Kluyveromyces lactis: one gene and its partners. The protein of the gene in region 1 purifies or fractionates together with the protein of each later gene. This does not show direct contact. Links are inferred from orthologs where the notes say so. Each region holds a gene or a part of one and is shown in the gene's direction. Other genes may lie near its edges.

Region 1 (5,059 bases):
GTGAATGGATTGACTGGGTTAACATCAACGTGTTCCAAACCGGGGAAACTGTTCAAGTATAATGGGTCTTTGCACTGTTGGTTCACGTCATAGACAAACAACGAATCGTTAATGACAGAGGTGAAATGATGCTTGTTCCAGGTCTTCAAATGACGAATTGGTTTTGAACGACTTGTGTTATAAATTTGCGTAGCAAGATCAACACTATCCATGCTATCGGTGATCACTTTCAAATGTTTGGAATGATTGAAACGTCTTAGAATTTTGGCGTTCCCATTCTCGATTGAAGTTGCAATTAAGTTCACATATCCATCAGAGTGTCCTGAAAGTAAGATTCTGTCATGGACTTTATCATCGAAGGAAACTACGGTGTCATTATTCTGCGATTGCATGATATCTGTAGCCAGAATAGATTTTCCTGGAACAGTAATGGTTTGTAAACTATGGAGCAATTTCCCACCGCGAGCCTGCTCATTAATTTCATTATTCCGCAATTGGAACAACTGTAAATTATCCGATGTCTGTGATGTGGAAAGTAGAATGGTGTCCCTATCCAATGACATTGAAGTGACGTCCCTAGTGTCTTCTGACAGTTTCCAACAATCTGTCTTCAATTTTTTCGTGACAATGACATCGTTCAAATCACCACTAACCTTCCTTAGCAAGGAACTGTTCAATTTCGAAGCCTCTATCTTGCAATTCCGCCTGACAATAGTACTGTTCTCGTCATCGCTAATATCTCTTCTACTCTTCTTGACGATGATGGCGTTCTGTCTGAATATCTCTGGAGCCCTGTAGAATTCAGTCATAATTTTCGCAATATACAGTTTCTTATTTGACTTTGTGTAATGTTTGCACTGCAGAGAATAATTGATTGTTAACAGGTACATCCATTAGAGGAGTAAGAGCTGGTCACTTTTAGAAACGACATGTTTATATATGATACAGGGCAAATAAAAATAGCACTAGCAAACACTGAGCCAATCAAAAATAGGACCAAACGCAGAACAAGCAACAAAAATTAGAGAAAGGCACGTTACCTATTGAGTGTGTTAGGCAGCCATATGAGCAAACATCCTGTTTATGTTTGCAAGAGGTTTGTTTACCTGTAAACAAACCCAGCATCTTTAAAGCTGGCAAAGGCTTGTTTATATTTATGTCATTTTGGACGATATGATTTTTGTCACGTGATGCCCATAATCGTCCCATATGCACGTCATCTGACAGCAATACGGCAGATTCTTGCAACCTGGTGGCTACCACCGCCATTAATGCCGTTTCCGAATTTACTGACATACTCGGCGTAGCCTGGTATCCCTCTTTAGTACTCTTTTTCCAGGTTTCAATCTCCTCACGTGACAAGTAAAGGAGAAAAGAAAATTGTGATTTGCATATTTTAATTAAGGAAACAAAACAAGAACAAAGATACTTTACTTGCAAACAACATCCGATTTAATCATCAGATCAAGGTGCTAGAGGATAAGCAAACGTGCATTGACAGTGGCAAAAAGGACGGTACGGAAAAGGGTATTGAGCAAGGTATTGATCTGATTTTTCTTTGCTTCTTTTTAGAGGAATCATCAACTTTTTTTCTGGTTCTGTTTCCTGTTCTGTTTCTTTGCAATTACGACAATTAAAGAAGACAAAAGACAAAAAATAAAACCTTATAGGCTTTCTCGGGCGGTTTTATTTGTTTAATAATTATTGCTGTTACTACCACTTATCAGATATCTAGTGTTTGAAGACTTTTCAATTTGTTATTGAGATTCCACTTTGAAGGAGAAATTATCGGATTTGAAATTGACAAACCATTAAAAAAATAAAAAGCTGCGAAATATGTCTATCTCTGTGAAACTAGTGGCTGCTGAGTCATTGAACAGGAGGGATGTGTTTAGATCTCCTGATCCGTTTGCAGTTTTGACTATCGATGGTTCTCAGACGAAATCCACAGCGGCTGCAAAGAAGACGTTGAATCCCTACTGGAATGAAGTATTTCAATTCAAAAATGTGAGTGAAAATTCGATCTTAACTGTTCAAGTGTTTGATCAGAAAAAGTTCAAGAAGAAAGATCAAGGGTTCCTAGGTGTTGTCAACGTTCGTATTGGTGACATTCTGGGTCACTTGGACGAAGATACTGCCACTTCGAACGGTAGAGCTCGTGAAGAGACTATTACTAGAGATTTAAAACGTTCTAACGACGGGTTGTCAGTAAGTGGTAGAATAATATTGGTTTTGACGGTTCTCCCCAGAGCTGGCAGCCGTAATGGAGCTGCTGGTGCCGCAGGTAGTGCTGTTGCTGGTTCCGGAGCAGCTCGTCAATCGGATTCGATGACGAACGCTTCCACTATCGACAACAGATTGATTGCTCAGACTGTTGCTAACAACTTGCAAACTACTACATTAGACAACCAGGATTCTGCGAATGCTGCAGGTACCGCCAGTTCAGGTTCAGGTGCCGGTTCAAGTGATGCTGCTCCATCCGGTCAACCTTCGACAGCTCAATCTCAATCGTCAGCTAGCAGGCAATACTCATCGTTTGAAGATCAATATGGTCGTTTACCCCCAGGATGGGAAAGAAGAACGGATAACTTTGGAAGAACATATTATGTGGATCATAATACAAGGACAACAACATGGAAAAGACCCACTTTGGATCAATCCGAGGTTCAACGTGTCAACACCGAACTAGAACGTAGACAACACAGAGGAAGAACTTTACCTGATGGTGGTGCTCAATCAGAGGGCTCGTCTTCATCAAACGTTGCTGTTCATACCGGTACTGGATCTCAAACTCCTGCCGTAAACGGTTCAGCAGCTGCTACTTTTGCTGCCACTGGGGGTACCACATCGGGGTTGGGTGAACTTCCACCAGGTTGGGAACAACGGTTCACTCCTGAAGGAAGAGCGTACTTCGTTGATCACAACACAAGAACCACGACATGGGTCGATCCAAGAAGACAACAATATATTAGAACCTATGGGCCTTCCACAAATACCATACAACAACAACCTGTATCTCAGTTAGGACCTTTGCCTTCTGGTTGGGAGATGAGATTGACAAACACAGCCCGTGTATACTTCGTTGACCATAACACTAAGACCACCACTTGGGATGATCCTAGATTACCTTCTTCCTTGGATCAAAACGTTCCACAGTATAAGCGTGACTTCAGACGTAAGGTTATTTACTTCAGATCCCAACCGGCTTTAAGAATTCTACCAGGTCAATGTCACATCAGAGTACGCAGAAAGAATATCTTCGAAGATTCTTACCAAGAAATAATGAGACAAACGCCAGAAGACTTAAAGAAGAGACTAATGATCAAATTTGACGGTGAAGAAGGTTTAGATTATGGTGGTGTTTCAAGAGAATTCTTCTTTTTACTATCACACGAGATGTTTAATCCCTTCTACTGTCTATTTGAATATTCTGCCCATGATAACTATACTATCCAAATCAATCCAAACAGTGGTATCAACCCTGAGCATTTGAACTACTTCAAGTTCATTGGTAGAGTCGTCGGTTTAGGTGTATTCCATAGAAGGTTCTTGGATGCATTCTTCGTTGGTGCTCTATATAAGATGATGCTAAGAAAGAAGGTAGTATTACAAGATATGGAAGGTGTCGATTCAGAAGTCTACAACTCCTTGAAATGGATTTTAGAAAATAGCATAGATGGCATTTTAGATCTAACATTTAATGTTGATGATGAAAGATTTGGTGAACTGGTTGTCGTCGATTTGAAACCAAACGGCAGAGAAATCGAAGTCACAGATGAAAACAAGAAAGAATATGTTGAACTATATACCCAATGGAGGATCGCAGACAGAGTTCAAGAACAATTTAAGGCATTTATGGATGGATTTAACGAATTGGTTCCTGAAGATCTAGTCAACGTGTTTGATGAACGTGAACTTGAATTATTGATTGGTGGTATTGCAGAAATTGATGTTGAAGACTGGAAAAAACACACAGATTATCGTGGATACCAAGAGTCTGACGAAGTTATCCAGTGGTTCTGGAAATGTATCACTGAATGGGACAACGAGCAAAGAGCACGTTTGTTACAATTCACAACTGGTACATCGCGTATCCCGGTCAATGGATTCAAAGATTTGCAAGGTTCTGATGGTCCAAGAAGATTCACTATCGAAAAAGCAGGTGAAGTTCAACAACTACCCAAGTCACACACTTGTTTCAACAGAGTGGATCTTCCACCATACACTGATTATGAATCTTTCAAGCAGAAGCTAACATTAGCAGTGGAAGAAACCATCGGATTTGGACAAGAGTAGTTGAATGAATCTTTCAATCTTTTCAATACCCTGCACCTTCTCAATTATTCAATCAGAAAGCGCAAGCACAAACACAAGCACAGACATATATATGTTATAGATATATTGTTGCCAAAACATGTGTATATTATTACATAGAAATTTTTTTCTTAACCTCGTTAGGCCTCAACTTATGGTGCTTTGTTATATTTTATTGCCATTATCAGGTGTTACTTTATATAGGTATGCTATAATGTGGGAAGCAATTGACAACGAAGTATCTGGTTCCTAACCGACGGAGTTTTGTAATTGCCCAGAGATTGATATATCCAGCTTAAATTTTGGGATAATAACGAAAATTAGCTGCATGGAGTTGATAGTATTAAGACCGGGTTCTTAAATGAAAAGGGTTAAGTTGTAATTATATATATGATAATTATGATAGAGGACAGGGTAAAGCTTATAATAAAATAATTTAAATGAGTGAATTGAATGAATTTATTGTATATTGTATAATAACGAGCGACAACAATATATTTGAATGCAATAATAATGAAAAAAGATGTTAACCCATAAACGTTTCGGTGGCTTAATGTTGTAGTTTTTTTTTAAAAGTTGTGGCTTAATTGTTACGGATCTTTCATGAATCGGCCTATTTCCTCTCACTATGACCCTTTTTTTGACCTGGTATGTAAGTGAAGAGAGTGTAATCACAATCTTTGATTGAATGTAAAGATTGATTCTACACCGAAAGATCCCACAATTAATACCTTGGTATTCTATT
Region 2 (5,167 bases), about 980 kb from region 1:
CAGGAAGAGAACCGCATGCTCCATTATCAAAAAAGAGCACATTAAAAGAAACAGTCAGTATGAATATGACTTTAAGACTAACAACTTCAAGCCAAAAAAAGTGCCCCCGCCTAATTGCCGTGCAACCGTTGAAAACTTACACTAAGTAAGTTGTATGGAAGCAGGTTACACAAGGGTCATACCAATCCATCATAAAGATTCAATGCCCCTACTATAGATGGATCGACCTTCGATCCGTCTCTAAATTCATCTAACGTAATACAACCATCTTTGTCTTTATCCATAAGCCTAAAGATCTTTTCTACCCTTAACTCTGGAGTAGCTTCATCGTCACTTAGTTTTACCATGTTCCCGATCATTTTATAAATACTTGACACTATGGTCAACATTTCTTCATATGAAATTACGCCATCGTGGTTTAAATCATAGAGTTGGAAAGCCCAGACTAACTTTTCCTCTAAGGAGCCCCTGGAAGTGGTGCTTAATGCTGTGATAAATTCTTTGAAGTCAATGGATCCATTATTATCCTTGTCAAACACGCTAAACACATACGTAGCAAACTCATCTGGCGAGCCAAAGGGGAAAAATTGTTTGTATATCTTGATGAACTCTTCTCTAGTTAGCTGGCCGTTCGGGCAATCCCGTAGAAACCCTTTGTGCCACTGTTGGATCTCTCTGCGATCGAAATACGTAGATTGCTTCAAACTGGTCAAATCATTCTTTGAAAGTGTAGACGTTTTATTTCCCATCTTATTATTGTTATTCCATGGATAGTATATATCTTAACACTTACTGTGATCAAACGCCACTATAAGCTACCTATGATCAGTTTCGGAAAAGATATTGACTAGACCCTGAAGCTCTTCCTCCCTAAATTTTTCAACTCCTCATGCAACATCTTTTATATTGGTTTTTTTTTAATTATGTTTTTCTCTCTTCTGCAGTTTACAGATTTCGTTGTAGGAAAGTGGCTTGTGAAGTCCGTCATAGATGATTCTCTAAAAGTAACGATAGAAACAGTGACAGAGATGACCGTTCCTCTTCTACTTTGCTTGTTGGTGTTCAAGTAACGACTACTAAAATTCTTCAGATGCTCACTATGAAGCGGTGCCACTGATCGAACTATTTTTCCTCTTTTTAACTCAACGACTGCGTTTTAAAGTTCTGGATTTTATGAACCTATTTCAACATTCAAAGGTTGAATAGGTTACATTGAGTTATAAATTATAGTTTACGTAGTACTCAGAAAAACAAGTTGTAAAGCTGTTTCAGTCTTTTCGGAATAATAGCAATGCTGTTACATCAAACAGGGCATAGGTAATTTGAATAGAGGCCCTTTTTGACTCATTTTAATGCCCTTTGTACCGCCATAAATGCGTTTAAATTTAAAACTGTGAGTATAAATCCGTACACCACACACTCATTGTGGTTCTGTCTACAGATTTCCACTATTGACAAATTTTAAAGGGTAACAAAAGAATTAAGTAGAATCAGAATAGTAATTGCATTAAATTTTAAGGAAAACTAGATCTTCAATCCTTTGGCAAATGCATAATTAAAAATATCTATTTGCCACTTCTAGGCTCGTTCTAATACTCCCAGTGATTCAATTCTGATACATTTGACACGCTACAGTATATTGTGACAATTTGAGGATAGCTTGGCAGAGAATAGAATCTCGAATTGATGATGGCTTCACAAGAACCAGCTTTAGAATTGAATGGCGAACAGAGAGATTCTGTTTCGGAAACAGCAGAAGTACTGAGATCTAAGTCGTTGGAATCATTTTCAGATTTAGTAGACGATGGTAAGACGCTTTTGTACGGAGATATTTCGAAAAGTTTTCCGTTCAAAACATGCGATCGAATTTTAGATGACATTAGGATTTCACCATGGTTCTTGAAGAAGTTTGGTTCATCTGTGATGAAACAACCAATGCTTCAGTACTCGAGGGAAAGACAGCAATTGCAACCGTGGAACCTAGTGCATTTAATTGACCAGGTTAATTTGAGAAGCAGATATGATTATGATTCAATGACTTGTCCAGGGAAGAATACCATCAGTGTTATGTTCGCATTGCTGGTAGATCCGAATTTTACTCCTAATGACTTTGATGACATTGACAAGTTTCCTGAATACTTCTTTCATTTGAAGATTACTGTGAAAAGGAGATCATACTTGGAAAATTTCAATAGACACGTTGGGATAACTCATTATCATGTTTTAGAGCCTGAATCTTTACATCCATTCGACAAAAGGGATATCTTTATAATGGAAGAGAAAGACTGTAGATTAGTAGACCAAAGTATATTTGTTTCTGCTGATACTAATAAACTTATACTTGTTGAGATAATAAAACCAGAATTTAATTCAGAGAACCTAGCTGAATATCGAACAGCAAAAATTGAGGAAAGATATAAAAATGCATGTCAAGAATTTGATTTATTGAACCCGGACGATATTCCTAGCCAAGCCGAGTGTTTGAAAACTCTTTTCATGATATTTAAGAACCCATTACAGAGGAAATCTGCTAATAGTGAGTTTAAGATTATTTCCAGGGATAGTGTTGCACTCAACTCACAAATTAATACTGACTGGTTAACGACAATGTTTGATTTCAGTTTGCAGAAGACCGCTGTAGAAGATAATGTCCAATCTGGAGAGGAATATAAGCCACCAGATTTAGTTGATTATATCACAGATTTTAAGGTCAGAGGGATTAGAGAGGCGTATACCAGAAAATCCATGGAGGTTGTTTTAATTGGTAAGCAGTCGATGCTACTTGAAAATGAACTTGGTACTGAAAAGAAGACAGTGGCAAAGTGCTTTTCTAATCAACATTTTAGTGCCAGTCACACATGGTGGTTCAATATTTTGAACCACCAACACATTGAACCATTCCCCTACGACATAAATTACCATTTTATTAACCTATCTGTTGCTTTTAAGTACATCGATAAGGATATCATTAAAAACTATGAAACTCAAATTGCACTTGATCAGGAAAACATCAGCCATTATTTTGATGCTCTCCAATATGTAACAAACGCAAAGGGTAGTTACCAGCTTATTGCTTACTGTGGAAAACAAGATGTTGTTGGGTATGAAGATTTGAATAATGCATTACAGGTATTTGGTTTAGATCCAACTGACATTGACGCAAGCCTCCTTGATGCCAATACGATGATTGAATATTACAATTCTCATCTATTAAGGAGCTCTGATAATCAAAGAAAAGATCTAAGAAATGCCCTACGTGTGCTAGGAAAATATTTAGGTAGTCAAAAGATGTTGTTTTTGGTGGAGTATGAACCATATTATAATGTACAACAAGCTTACACTCTTTTAAAGGTAGACGAGACAGTAGATGATGATATTATCCAAACTGCATATACGATCAATATTGCTGATGCCCCTGGTTTGAAAAAAGATTATGATCGGGCGATTTTTACAATAGCACTAGATAGGCGCTCAATATTTCTTTTGAATGTCTTGACAGATGAATGTCCAGAATTTGCGCAATATTACAACTGCACTGACATATCATACGATGAAGCATTGAACATCATTGAAATTGACATGAATGCAAGCGACGATGTCATCCTTGAAGTTTTTCAAAAGAAATGGAGTCACGGAATTATGACAGGTCCTGATTATCTATTGAAGTTGAAAATGGCCCTTCAGAATATTGGTTTTACTAGAAATAGTAAACTTATCAACCACTTTTTAGACACCGGTATTGTGGACGTAAGTTGTCTTCCTGTTGCTACATGGCCAGCTGGAATCAATAATGTGGGAAATACATGCTACCTAAACTCACTACTTCAATTCTTTTTCACTATCAAACCTCTACGTGATTTTATTTTGAATTATGATGATGACTCTGCTAAATTACTGGATGCGTCTGAATATCACTCTAGAAGAAGAATTGGAGGCAGGGAGGTCAGCAAACAAGAAGAGCTTAGATCGGTCCAGTTTGTCTACCATCTTCGTGATTTGTTCAATGACATGATCCACACAAACAGTAGATGCGTCACGCCCACAAAAGAGTTGGTCTACTTAGCCTTTGCTCCGAGTAATGTCGAGGTGGAGTTCGGTGACGATACTGTTGCCCAGAAAGAACTCATCGACTTAACAACTGACGTCGTCGAAGACCCCACTGATACTACTCGTCACCTAGCGTCTTGTGATGATGATATCATAATGTGCCAGAGCCCGGTTGCGCTCCCCGAACATAAAACATCGTCAGAAGCAGGAACACAGCAATATTCCGTCCAAGTTGCTAAAATCAGTGCGGACCAACTTGAAAATACATTGGAGATCGGAAGACAACAAGATGTTACAGAATGTATAGGTAACGTCTTGGCTCAGCTTGAGATTGCTTCAGAACCTTTGAGCTTGGAAGACGACTTGGAACAGAATGATCTTGTCAAACAGTTGTTTTACGGTAGAATTAAACAGGACTTGATACCAGTCAATGATGAGGCTTCTGTCCGGACAAAATATGAAAGGTTTTTATCCTTATTGGTTAACACCGGTGACCATCCAAAGGATATTTATGATGCTTTAGATTTTTACTTTCAGAATGACTATTTGAATTTGGAGGAGTATGGTGATGTAAAGAGAACTGTATCTATCTCAGAGTTACCTGCGGTTCTACAAATTCAAATCCAGAGAGTCTATTATGATAGAGAAAAATTCATGCCTTTCAAGTCTATCGAGCCGCTACCTTTCGGCGAAACGTTGTACATGGATAGATATATGGCTACCGAGGATCCAAAACTATTAGCAGAAATTCAACAAAACGCAGAATTGAAACAGAAACTTCAAGACTTAAAGCAAAGACAGAGGAAACTACTCTCACAGAACGAAATAGGATTAACTTTAAAATCCTCGCTCATTGAGACCAAAAAGTTCTTACAGTCCGGTACCTTGAAAGCGCACGATATTGATGCGGACAATATCCCCTCATCGATCGCCTACATTGATATTTTAATCAATAACATAGACGAGGAACTAAAGAGCTTATTCAACAAAATTACAGATCTAGAGACAACTATTTCCCAACAGTTCAGCGAATTCAAACATATCGGCTATTCTTTATTCGCCGTTTTCATTCATCGTGGTGAAGCAAGTTACGGCCATTACTGGGTCTATATTAAAGATC
Region 3 (4,285 bases), about 900 kb from region 1:
TAACAATAACGAGTAGGCAAGTGCGTACCCTTTCAAACAGCAAAGGGGAAAAAAAAAACAGACACAGAATACAGCTTACACACTTGCAGAACGGGAGAGTCTCTTAGGATTTGAGGCAATAGGGGAAGTTTTAAGGTTCCCCCATCAGAGGGAATTCTAGACAGTCTAGAAGGAAATCTTTCGAGATACATAAGAGTTCGAAAAATTCGAAAAAAAACCGTTTCTTCAGGAATGGTGTAGCAAGTCCATTCTGATTCTTGCGACAGATTTTCTGTTCCTAATCAAGAATACAGTAGGGGGGGGGAAGGATTCCCGCATGGAAAAGTACCAGATTGTGGAAGGATTATTTAGATAGGTTGTAATTGGACGTGTGTGGGCCCCGGCTTGTGTGGCAGTACGTTTCTTGTATATATTCTTTTGGCTACGATTTTTCGCTGGTTCCTTCTGAGAGATCTCGATCGTAAAAATGTTTCCAAGTCTAAATGCCTAGAGATCCTCAGTGCGAATTGAACTGGGGTGTAAGTGACGCAAGGGAAAGGAAACGAAAGGAACGAATCGCATATTCCAGGTAGGAAGCTATCTGGGTAGCTAGCTAAGTAGCTAGCTCGGGGAGCCTGCTGAGCCGAAACTCGCATTGTATGTGAGCTTTTGTTATACGCAATCCTTAGGGGAATTTGTGTGTTTACTCTATATTACTCTGTTTACCCTGTTCAGCCTTTTTTTTTCCTTTCTTCGATCTTAAAAGTGCTGCAGTTTGAAGAGTGCAAAGCTAGCAATAGGTTGAATGAAGTTGGCAAGGGGTATCCGGCGAGGTGCCTGTTGTCTCAAGCGTGCTGTGCAGACGTTACTGTGGTGTAGAATCGGATGTATCCGTCTATTTACATCTTGCCCACATCTTTGCATCCTATATACCCAAATGATTATGTACATCTCAATTAATGAGCTTCATACTGGTTTGTCGTAGACAATGCAAATATGGAACTTTATTCTATCTTCTTGGAGATTTTGCATTGTTTAAGGTTTTTACCTTATTAGTACATCCTACAAAGTTGCAACATGCAACATTCTTTCATCCAGGACAAAGAGTTGAATGAATGACGCTGTTCTGCCTGCATTCTCGAATAACTAGAAAAGAAAAAAAAATCGCATTCCTTTCTTGCCTAAGTAATTCAGTTCTATGTCAGGAATTCTTTTAGCTGATCTGATTCATCTGTTAACAGTTTCAGCATTTTCCCCTTTACCGGTATTCAACGATACCTTCTAGATCCGTTGACTTTTCTCTGGATGATGAATTTTTCCTTTGTAGAAAGTTGAAATTTTAACTGGAAATAATATACAGAGAGTATCGTTTATAAGGGTATAAGGGGTCTTAAAACGTAAGATGTAAGTAGCGAGCAGCCATTGCCATTACAGCTATAACGATTACCATATGCAGAGCGGATTCGACCAGGAAGAATTGTTACGGAAGCTCGATGCCGTGGACAGCGATTCTAGTTCAAATGACGGCATCACATCACTGCCCAGCAGGTTACCAAATAGTTTGTTGAATACCACCATTGAGCATTGGTGGAAAAAGGATCCTTCTCAATTGGTTGGGATCTTACCAAAGGGGTCTAGTGCATTGTTGGAGTCTTACTTCCCGTTGTTTGCACTCTGTATGGCTGTGAACGTGCCGACGAAGTTTCTCAATGTGGATTTTAAGGAATTAGTGTATAACCCACATTGGTTCAAAGGAGAGTTGGTACAATCTGATTACAGATTGGTGCATAGGAATGCGGGTCCTCTTTTGATTCATAAGAGAGAGTTGACCGGTAGTGAATATTTGGAAATGCAACCGGAATTGATCCCACGGATGCAACTATTGATAGGCATAGCCAACGATCCAGAATCGATGAGAAGGTTCGTTGCATCCGAATTGATCAATAAGGGTACAGATTTCAACGTGTCCAGAGCCCTCTCTGAGTGTGACCACCTCTCAGAAGTATTCCCGCAATTCATCAAGAACTTACACAATGATATGGATTTGTGTTTGAAAGACGATAAATCTACTTCGAAATTATTCCTTTCTAAAGCACTCCACAGACCAAACGTATTAGAGCCTTTCCAACCCACTTCTTTATCCGTATTAAATTTTTCACCGGAAAACTACGCTTATACACTTTATGAGATGTTCAATCCGATGCTCTTGCCAGAAGATTCTGGGAGGGGATACGAAATAGAGAATGCCTTTGATTTCCTGGCTCCCGTGTTCACTATCATCTTCGATGACATGGACGATACAACTGAAGAAGTGAACCTTTCCCACGGAGTACAGATCCCCATCGAGTTCTACCCCCAACTGTATACCAAGAATGCTTTGGAAAAAGTGGTCGTCCCTGTCCTCGAGGAGACTGATGCCTTAAGGAATACTAATAAGTTGAAAGTGGACCAAATGTCATCCTTGCAATCGTTTCAGGGGAAGCAGATCAGCTCTTTCTTGAACAGTTCCATCAATTACTTGGAAGAAATTCCATTAGGAGACGAAGATAAATCAAAAGAGTTGGTTGACACTTTAGAAAAAATCAAGTACCAGCTATCGAACAAGAAACGTGAAATGATGGCCGATTATACAGAAACTCAAAGACAAATCGATTTGTTATCCTTTGAAGGACCATCTGAAAAGATAATCGATCTGGCAAAACAGGTTGGTATCATTGATGAGCCGTACCTACTCCGGCTAGTGGTATTTTCGCCAAACGACTACATAATTGCACGTGGAATCAGTGCTGACGATGGTAATACCGGCATGGAAACTGGCAACAACAATCTGCAGTATATCAGGAATATCATTGAGTTTGGATCAAGCAGCCTCACTCAAGAGGAACTCACAGCGCAGGAAACTCAAGATATAACAAAATCACACACAAGACATGCATCCGAGACTCCAATCCTTTTCGTTTACATTAAAAAAGACCATATTGACGCACCGCAAGATATTCTGGCTTCCATTTCCGAAAATGAAACCCTAACAAATTTCCTCAAAGAAGAGCACACTACGTACGTTAATTATAAACAGTCACCGTAAACGCATGAAATGCGTATACCTATAATAATCATACATGTTTTACTGAGAGAATAAAATAGAGTTTTCTCCTTCTAGATGACCTGGATACCATTGGCGCCTGCTTCAAGATGCACTAAGCAGATGCCATTCGTTGCATTGCTTCTCAACCGCTTGTTATTTATAGAAAGCGGACATCTCTTACAGAATAATCTCACAATTGGTCGTAAAAAAGCTCAAACCCAAAAAAAGCTAAAGAATCAAAAAAAAAAAAAAAAAAAAGCCTGTAGTTAGTTCTTTCTTGCAGACAAAAGTACAGAAATAGAATAAAAGGAATCTGCCCACTGGAAAATGGGTCTGACTCCGGCGGTTTCTAGAAGAAATCTGTGATTTTGAAATAATTTATAAATATAAACTATACTAATTCAATTTACTATATATATACCAAATGTATAAATTTGGCCTTAGCTTGGTATATCTTGACTCTGAACACTTAGCATACCTGATACAATTAGATCTAGCGGTGTAAGAGAGGTAAAGAGTGTCTACGTGTGCTATTTCGTGACAATTCCTCTCACGAACCATGTTTCGTAATAGAAGGATCTTACTTTATGCAAGGCGATTCTTTCTTGTATGGATTTGTTTCCTATTTATAACATCATGGAGTTTGATCCAAAGGCATCTGAAGAACTGGTTGGTGCAAGCACCAGACCTTAAATTGTCGGGATCACTACAAGACACTGGGATCAAGGTACGAGATGTTAGGATATCCAAATGTTATTCTTGGTTTAGCAACTGCGATGCGATTTGGGATTACAGTTTACAGGATGATTTAGTCACGTGGTATCGCATCGATATGGGGAAGATGCAAGACACCTCTATTGGACAAGGCTTTGGGTGGACAAGTTATGTTTATTGGCAGCCCTTATACCCAAACGAACGTGGATCGGCTGTAGTAGATCTTGCTTTGAGTAGAAATGGACTTCCGTTGGGTTTAGCTAATGAACGGTATAACAAGATCAAAAATAATGATATCGACGGGTACCATGTTCATTCTAATACGGACAATGAGTTCTATGTCAAAGATGACTCGTCAAATCGATTCAATCCCGATATGAAGTGGTCTGCGAAGTTTGGAAACCATTTAGAGGATTGGTTTTGGAGGGGTGATGGGATCTGGTGTAAGTACGGCCGTAGATCCAACGGTATCAAGGAAATCAAAGCATTTATCGGAGAAGACTTCAT
Region 4 (4,976 bases), on another chromosome or scaffold:
ATCGGGTCTAGTGATCAATTCTGGGTACATACCATTTGTATCCTCAAATAAACATTTTCTTAACTCTTCTTCAGTGATTCCAAATCTTTCAGCGACCCCTGGTAAATACCAAACAGGTTCAACGGCAATCTTCGAAACACTTAGGTCACCGTTAGAGTTGACAATGATATTACCGTCGATTTTCAATTCGCCTTTATCAACGGCCTCTTTCAACTCAAGCAATTGCATGGTTGCCTTGGTGATGGCAATAGTTGGTCTGATATCCACGTTTGCAGACTTAGCAACATCATCAAACAAATAAGGTGTTAAGTGACCAAAAGGATCCATCGATACAATATCACGGTTGTTAAACCATGATGGCTGTTCTGGGATTGTAAACACAGGTTGCGCGTTGGTATAGTCTGGAATATGGTCGCGTTTTAACTGGTTTGAACCAATGGCCAAAGCATTATAGATGCAGTATGGACCAGCATGAGCACCGATGCAATTGTGTTTAGAGATACCACTTTTATTTCTTGATGGAACCACAGGACCCCTTTCTTGACAATCAGCAGCACCCCAGTTCAATGGGATAGGAGAGGAATCTTCTGGGTAGGTGGTTAAAAGGACATCATTAACTGGTGTCGCTTTGATGTGTTGTTCTACTTCCTTACGGGTAACGGCGATTGGACTCATCTTTAGTTGATAATTTCACAATATCCTTAATGATTGATACTTTTTGATTTAATCTTGATACTTATAGATGTGTTTACTATATGCATTACTTAATTGAACCTTATCCAAACTAAGTTCTTCTTCTTCGACAAACGCTCTTCTTTTATAGATTTTGAAGGATAATATATCCTGTAATAATTTACACAAAGATAACTAGGCTCCCATGCACTCGAAACTATACAAATCGCTCGAGCTTTCCGTTTTCTATCTCCCGTACCTCTTTTTGTTATCCTAATCACACGCTATCTACGTTTTTGTTTCACTAACTGACGCATGTCAATTTTCCTCCGACGGATTTCCTTCGGAGGAAAATGGTACAGCATATTATGTCAGCACCGCCAGTATTAAACAGGGAAAACAACGACTAAATATCTCCTATGGAGATATGTATACATACATATGGGTAGATAGATGCTTTACACATGAAGGTGTTAGTTAACCGCACTAATTGACATACATGCAATCTGTTTACTTGTTTTTAGGTTGTTATTCTCAATCACTAAGGTCGCCAACGGAGATTTGAGGTCCCAAACTCAAAGTAGAGATATGAAAAGTAAATTCAGATTGTAAGTTTGGAAATTATTACAAATGCTCCAGAATATACCAAATTTGGCGTCCCTTTGTGGGCTATGAAGTGCTATAAAAGAGGTTACTCCAATAGATAATTCTCATCATAGATGATTCTAATCACGTGATCAACAAATCACGTGCTCGACACAGCAGAAGAGGCTTATAAAATTATACAATGTAGAACTAAACTTAAGTTTCCAGATCCATTTCCTGTAGCAAGTATCTACGGTTTATATCACTGCCTCTTGGCTGAACATTCTGGTAACATCATTCAGCTGCTTTACTTAATCACTTATACTTCAGAAAGACTTCAGAGAGCAGATCTTCAAGCCAATTCTCCTATTATAGGGGAAAAACGGAGCCAGCCATCCACCTTAAAAGGAAAGAAAAAAAATATCTGAAATTAAATGAGATTCAGAAAGAAGTATACATAATATCGTATTTGGTGGAACGATTACGGAGGTGATTATATACACACTAAGGTGCAGTGCTGTCGAAGAAATATTGCCAAACATGTCAGAAGAACCTGTGGACCGCACGAACCCAGCAATTGCTGAGGAACGTGATATACAAGCCCTAGATTCGACCACGACTGTTGATATCAATGTGAATTCGGTAACCGACGCTGATGCGAACGTGGAGAACAACACCCCTGATGTGCCTGATGTTGATGTGACGCCATCTCCATCAGCAAATAAAACTGTAAATAGTAACACCGAGGGAGCGGCCCATGCTAGAAATGCGTCAATTGTATCTATGAATAACGCGAACATTAAATCGGTTGTTTTGTTTGTAAAATCAACGTTGGAATCCATAATGAAATCCAAAGAACTTAAGAAACTTACGAGTTGTCAGAAAGATATAGAAAGGACTTTGAAGTCCCTAGAACAAACCTCAGCAGCGCCAACCGGAACTTCGGTAGAAATTGACTCGTTGCTCGTTTTTGAAGCGTTAAGATCATGTTGCAGATCTAAGATCATTGATATTCAAATAAAGGCTTTAGATTGTTTCGCTAAACTGTTCTCCTTTCAAGCCTTGGACGAATCGCTGCTAGTGAATCCTCCAGACTCAATGGCTTCAAACGATCAGAACCCTGAAAATATTGGAATTACTCCACCTCCAAAACAAAAGCTTATTGATGCGGTAATTGACACAATTTGTGATTGTTTTGAAGGGGAAAATACAGACTCAAGAGTGGAACTGCAAGTTGTACGTGGTTTAGCCAGTTGTATCTTAATCGATGAAGCTACTTCTTGTGTCCATGGCGCTTCCTTATTGAAGGCCATCAGACAAATTTACAACATTTTCATCTTTTCGCTACATTCATCCAATCAAGGCATAGCGCAAGCCACTTTGACCCAAATTGTCACGACCGTTTTCGATAGGATCGATGTGAAAAGTTTGAATCAACAGAGATCACTTTCAACAATTAGCTTAAAGAATGCTGCTTCCACCAATGGAGGAACATCCACTCCATCATCTGAACATCCGTTAACTTTGCAAAATTTGGATACACTAAATGACGAGACTGAAAGACTGGTAGACGAAGAAGAAAATTTCCAGAAACCCGATGACTCCATCACTGATGAACAAGCTCTTACCATCAAAGACGCTTTCCTTTTGTTTAGAGCCATGGCAAAAATATCTGCAAAACCTTTGGAAGACTCACTAGATATGAGATCTCATGTAGTAAGATCGAAACTTTTATCTCTTCATACTCTACATTCAATATTAAAAGACCATATCGACGTTTTCTTGTCTCAAAACGTTAGGGTTCCAGGAAAAGAGCAAGTCAGCTTAGTTCATGCAGTCAATCAGTATTTGTGTTTATCACTTGCGAGAAATGCAGCCTCTCCAATTGCGCCCGTGTATGAGATAACTTTAGAAATTATGTGGTTGATAATATCGAACTTGAGATCTGAGTTTAAGAGAGAGATTCCCGTGTTCCTCACAGATATTTATTTCCCTATTGCGGATTTAAAGTCTTCGACCAATCACCAGAAAAGATACTTTTTGAGTATTATCCAACGTGTTTGTAATGATCCACGGACGCTCATTGAATTCTATCTTAATTATGACTGTGATAGTCATATGCCAAATGTTGTTGAGTTGATCATAAACTACCTCACAAAATTAGCTCTTACACGTGTAGATGTGACAACATCACAAAGAGCTTATTACAATGATTCATTAAGCAAGCCGCTTGCAACATTTAGTTATACTCAAGTTCCTTTGTTATCGATCTCCAATATCCCATCATCTTCTGACTCCTCTCAACTTCCGTTTCCGGTTGATTATGCTCTAAAACAAATGGCCCTTACATGTATGGTCGCGTTCCTCACATCTTTGAGTTCATGGGCACATAAAGCGCTAAATTCCAGTTCGATCAACACGGTAGGGAGTAGCCAATCCAAAGCTTTGAGCCAGAGAGCAGATTCCTCAACCCTCCTATCTTCGAACAGACCTCGTTCAACTTCTGCTCTCAGTTCGGTGTCTAACACGGATACAAACTCTGTATCTGAATCAACAACAAATGAAGAAGTAGATGACCCTCTGCAATTTGAAACTGCTAAATTAAGGAAAACGGAACTGTTGAATTGTGTGAAGTTATTTAACTACAAAACTAAGAAGGGAATTGCAGAGTCGATAAAAAAAGGTTTCATCGAGGACGATTCCAGTGTTGCTATTGCAAAATGGTTATTGAATACCGATGGGCTTGACCTATCTGCCGTAGGAGAATATCTTGGTGAAGGCAATGAAAAAAATATTTCTATCATGCACGCATTTGTTGATCAGTTTGAATTTACAAATCTCTCCATAGTTAGTGCTTTAAGATTATTCCTTCAAAAGTTTAGATTACCTGGCGAAGGACAAAAAATTGATAGATTCATGCTTAAATTCGCTGAGCGCTTCGTTGATCAAAACCCTAATGTTTTCTCTAAAGCAGATACAGCTTATGTTTTGGCATATTCGATTATTCTTTTGAATACCGACTTGCATTCCACTCAGATCAAAAAGAAAATGACTCTTGAAGAGTTTATAGAGAATAACTCAGGCATAGACAATGGAAAGGACTTGCCAAGGGAATACATGGAACAAATATTCGAAGAGATATCAAACCATGAAATCAAATTGCTCTCGGAACAACACCAAGCAATGATTTCGGGTGATGCTACTGCAGCGTTACCTCAGCAATCCTCATTTGGGTTCTTCAATGGCAAGGATTATGAAAGGGAAGCCTATATCCAAGTGTCTAAGCAAATTTCTTCGAAGACCGAATTAGTATTCAAAAACTTGAGCAAGAATAAGGACACTGTGTACTACGCTGCATCACACGTTGAACATGTTAAATCGATTTTCGAAACATTGTGGATGTCTTTCTTGGCTGCTTTGACCCCTCCTTTCAAGGAATACAATGACATAGAAACTTCTGATTTATGCCTTAAGGGTATCAAAACTTCTATCAAAATCGCTGCTACGTTCGGCATTGATTATGCAAGGGCTTCATTCGTCGGTGCATTAATTCAATTCGCTAATCTTCAAAACCTTGAAGAAATAAAAATAAAGAATGTATATGCAATCATAACTCTTCTTGAAATCGCTGTTTCGGAAGGTAATTACATGAAGGACTCCTGGAAAGATATTCTAGTCATCGTTTCTCAAGTGGAGCGTTTACAATTAATTTCAAAGGG

What was found.
Region 2: the proteins of RSP5 (region 1) and UBP2 purify together in Saccharomyces cerevisiae (affinity purification with western blotting; 7 studies listed by BioGRID, with this or other methods). This does not show direct contact. The link is inferred for Kluyveromyces lactis from reciprocal best matches to the Saccharomyces cerevisiae genes RSP5 and UBP2.
Region 3: the proteins of RSP5 (region 1) and RUP1 purify together in Saccharomyces cerevisiae (affinity purification with western blotting; 4 studies listed by BioGRID, with this or other methods). This does not show direct contact. The link is inferred for Kluyveromyces lactis from reciprocal best matches to the Saccharomyces cerevisiae genes RSP5 and RUP1.
Region 4: the proteins of RSP5 (region 1) and SEC7 purify together in Saccharomyces cerevisiae (affinity purification with mass spectrometry; 3 studies listed by BioGRID, with this or other methods). This does not show direct contact. The link is inferred for Kluyveromyces lactis from reciprocal best matches to the Saccharomyces cerevisiae genes RSP5 and SEC7.

Annotation. Positions count from the first base shown.
Region 1 is NC_006041.1:1,196,297-1,201,355, forward strand, and holds RSP5 (NEDD4 family E3 ubiquitin-protein ligase), read left to right. Parts: upstream 1-1,836; coding exon 1,837-4,296; downstream 4,297-5,059. Other genes in the region: DSE1 (Dse1p), read right to left, coding at 1-890. UniProt on the Saccharomyces cerevisiae protein: E3 ubiquitin-protein ligase which accepts ubiquitin from an E2 ubiquitin-conjugating enzyme in the form of a thioester and then directly transfers the ubiquitin to targeted substrates.
Region 2 is NC_006041.1:218,829-223,995, reverse strand, and holds the start of UBP2 (ubiquitin-specific protease UBP2), read left to right. Parts: upstream 1-1,686; coding exon 1,687-5,167. Other genes in the region: FRQ1 (frequenin), read right to left, coding at 177-749. UniProt on the Saccharomyces cerevisiae protein: Has an ATP-independent isopeptidase activity, cleaving at the C-terminus of the ubiquitin moiety in natural or engineered linear fusion proteins, irrespective of their size or the presence of an N-terminal extension to ubiquitin.
Region 3 is NC_006041.1:291,697-295,981, reverse strand, and holds RUP1 (Rup1p), read left to right. Parts: upstream 1-1,429; coding exon 1,430-3,064; downstream 3,065-4,285. Other genes in the region: SIA1 (Sia1p), read left to right, coding at 3,624-4,285. UniProt on the Saccharomyces cerevisiae protein: Modulates the activity of the RSP5 HECT ubiquitin-protein ligase through its mediation of the interaction between RSP5 and the deubiquitinase UBP2. Involved in regulation of cell wall homeostasis.
Region 4 is NC_006040.1:1,479,891-1,484,866, reverse strand, and holds the start of SEC7 (Arf family guanine nucleotide exchange factor SEC7), read left to right. Parts: upstream 1-1,797; coding exon 1,798-4,976. Other genes in the region: KLLA0_D17380g (uncharacterized protein), read right to left, coding at 1-675. UniProt on the Saccharomyces cerevisiae protein: Guanine exchange factor that acts as an activator of ARF1 at the trans-Golgi network and is thus involved in vesicular budding and traffic between compartments of the Golgi apparatus.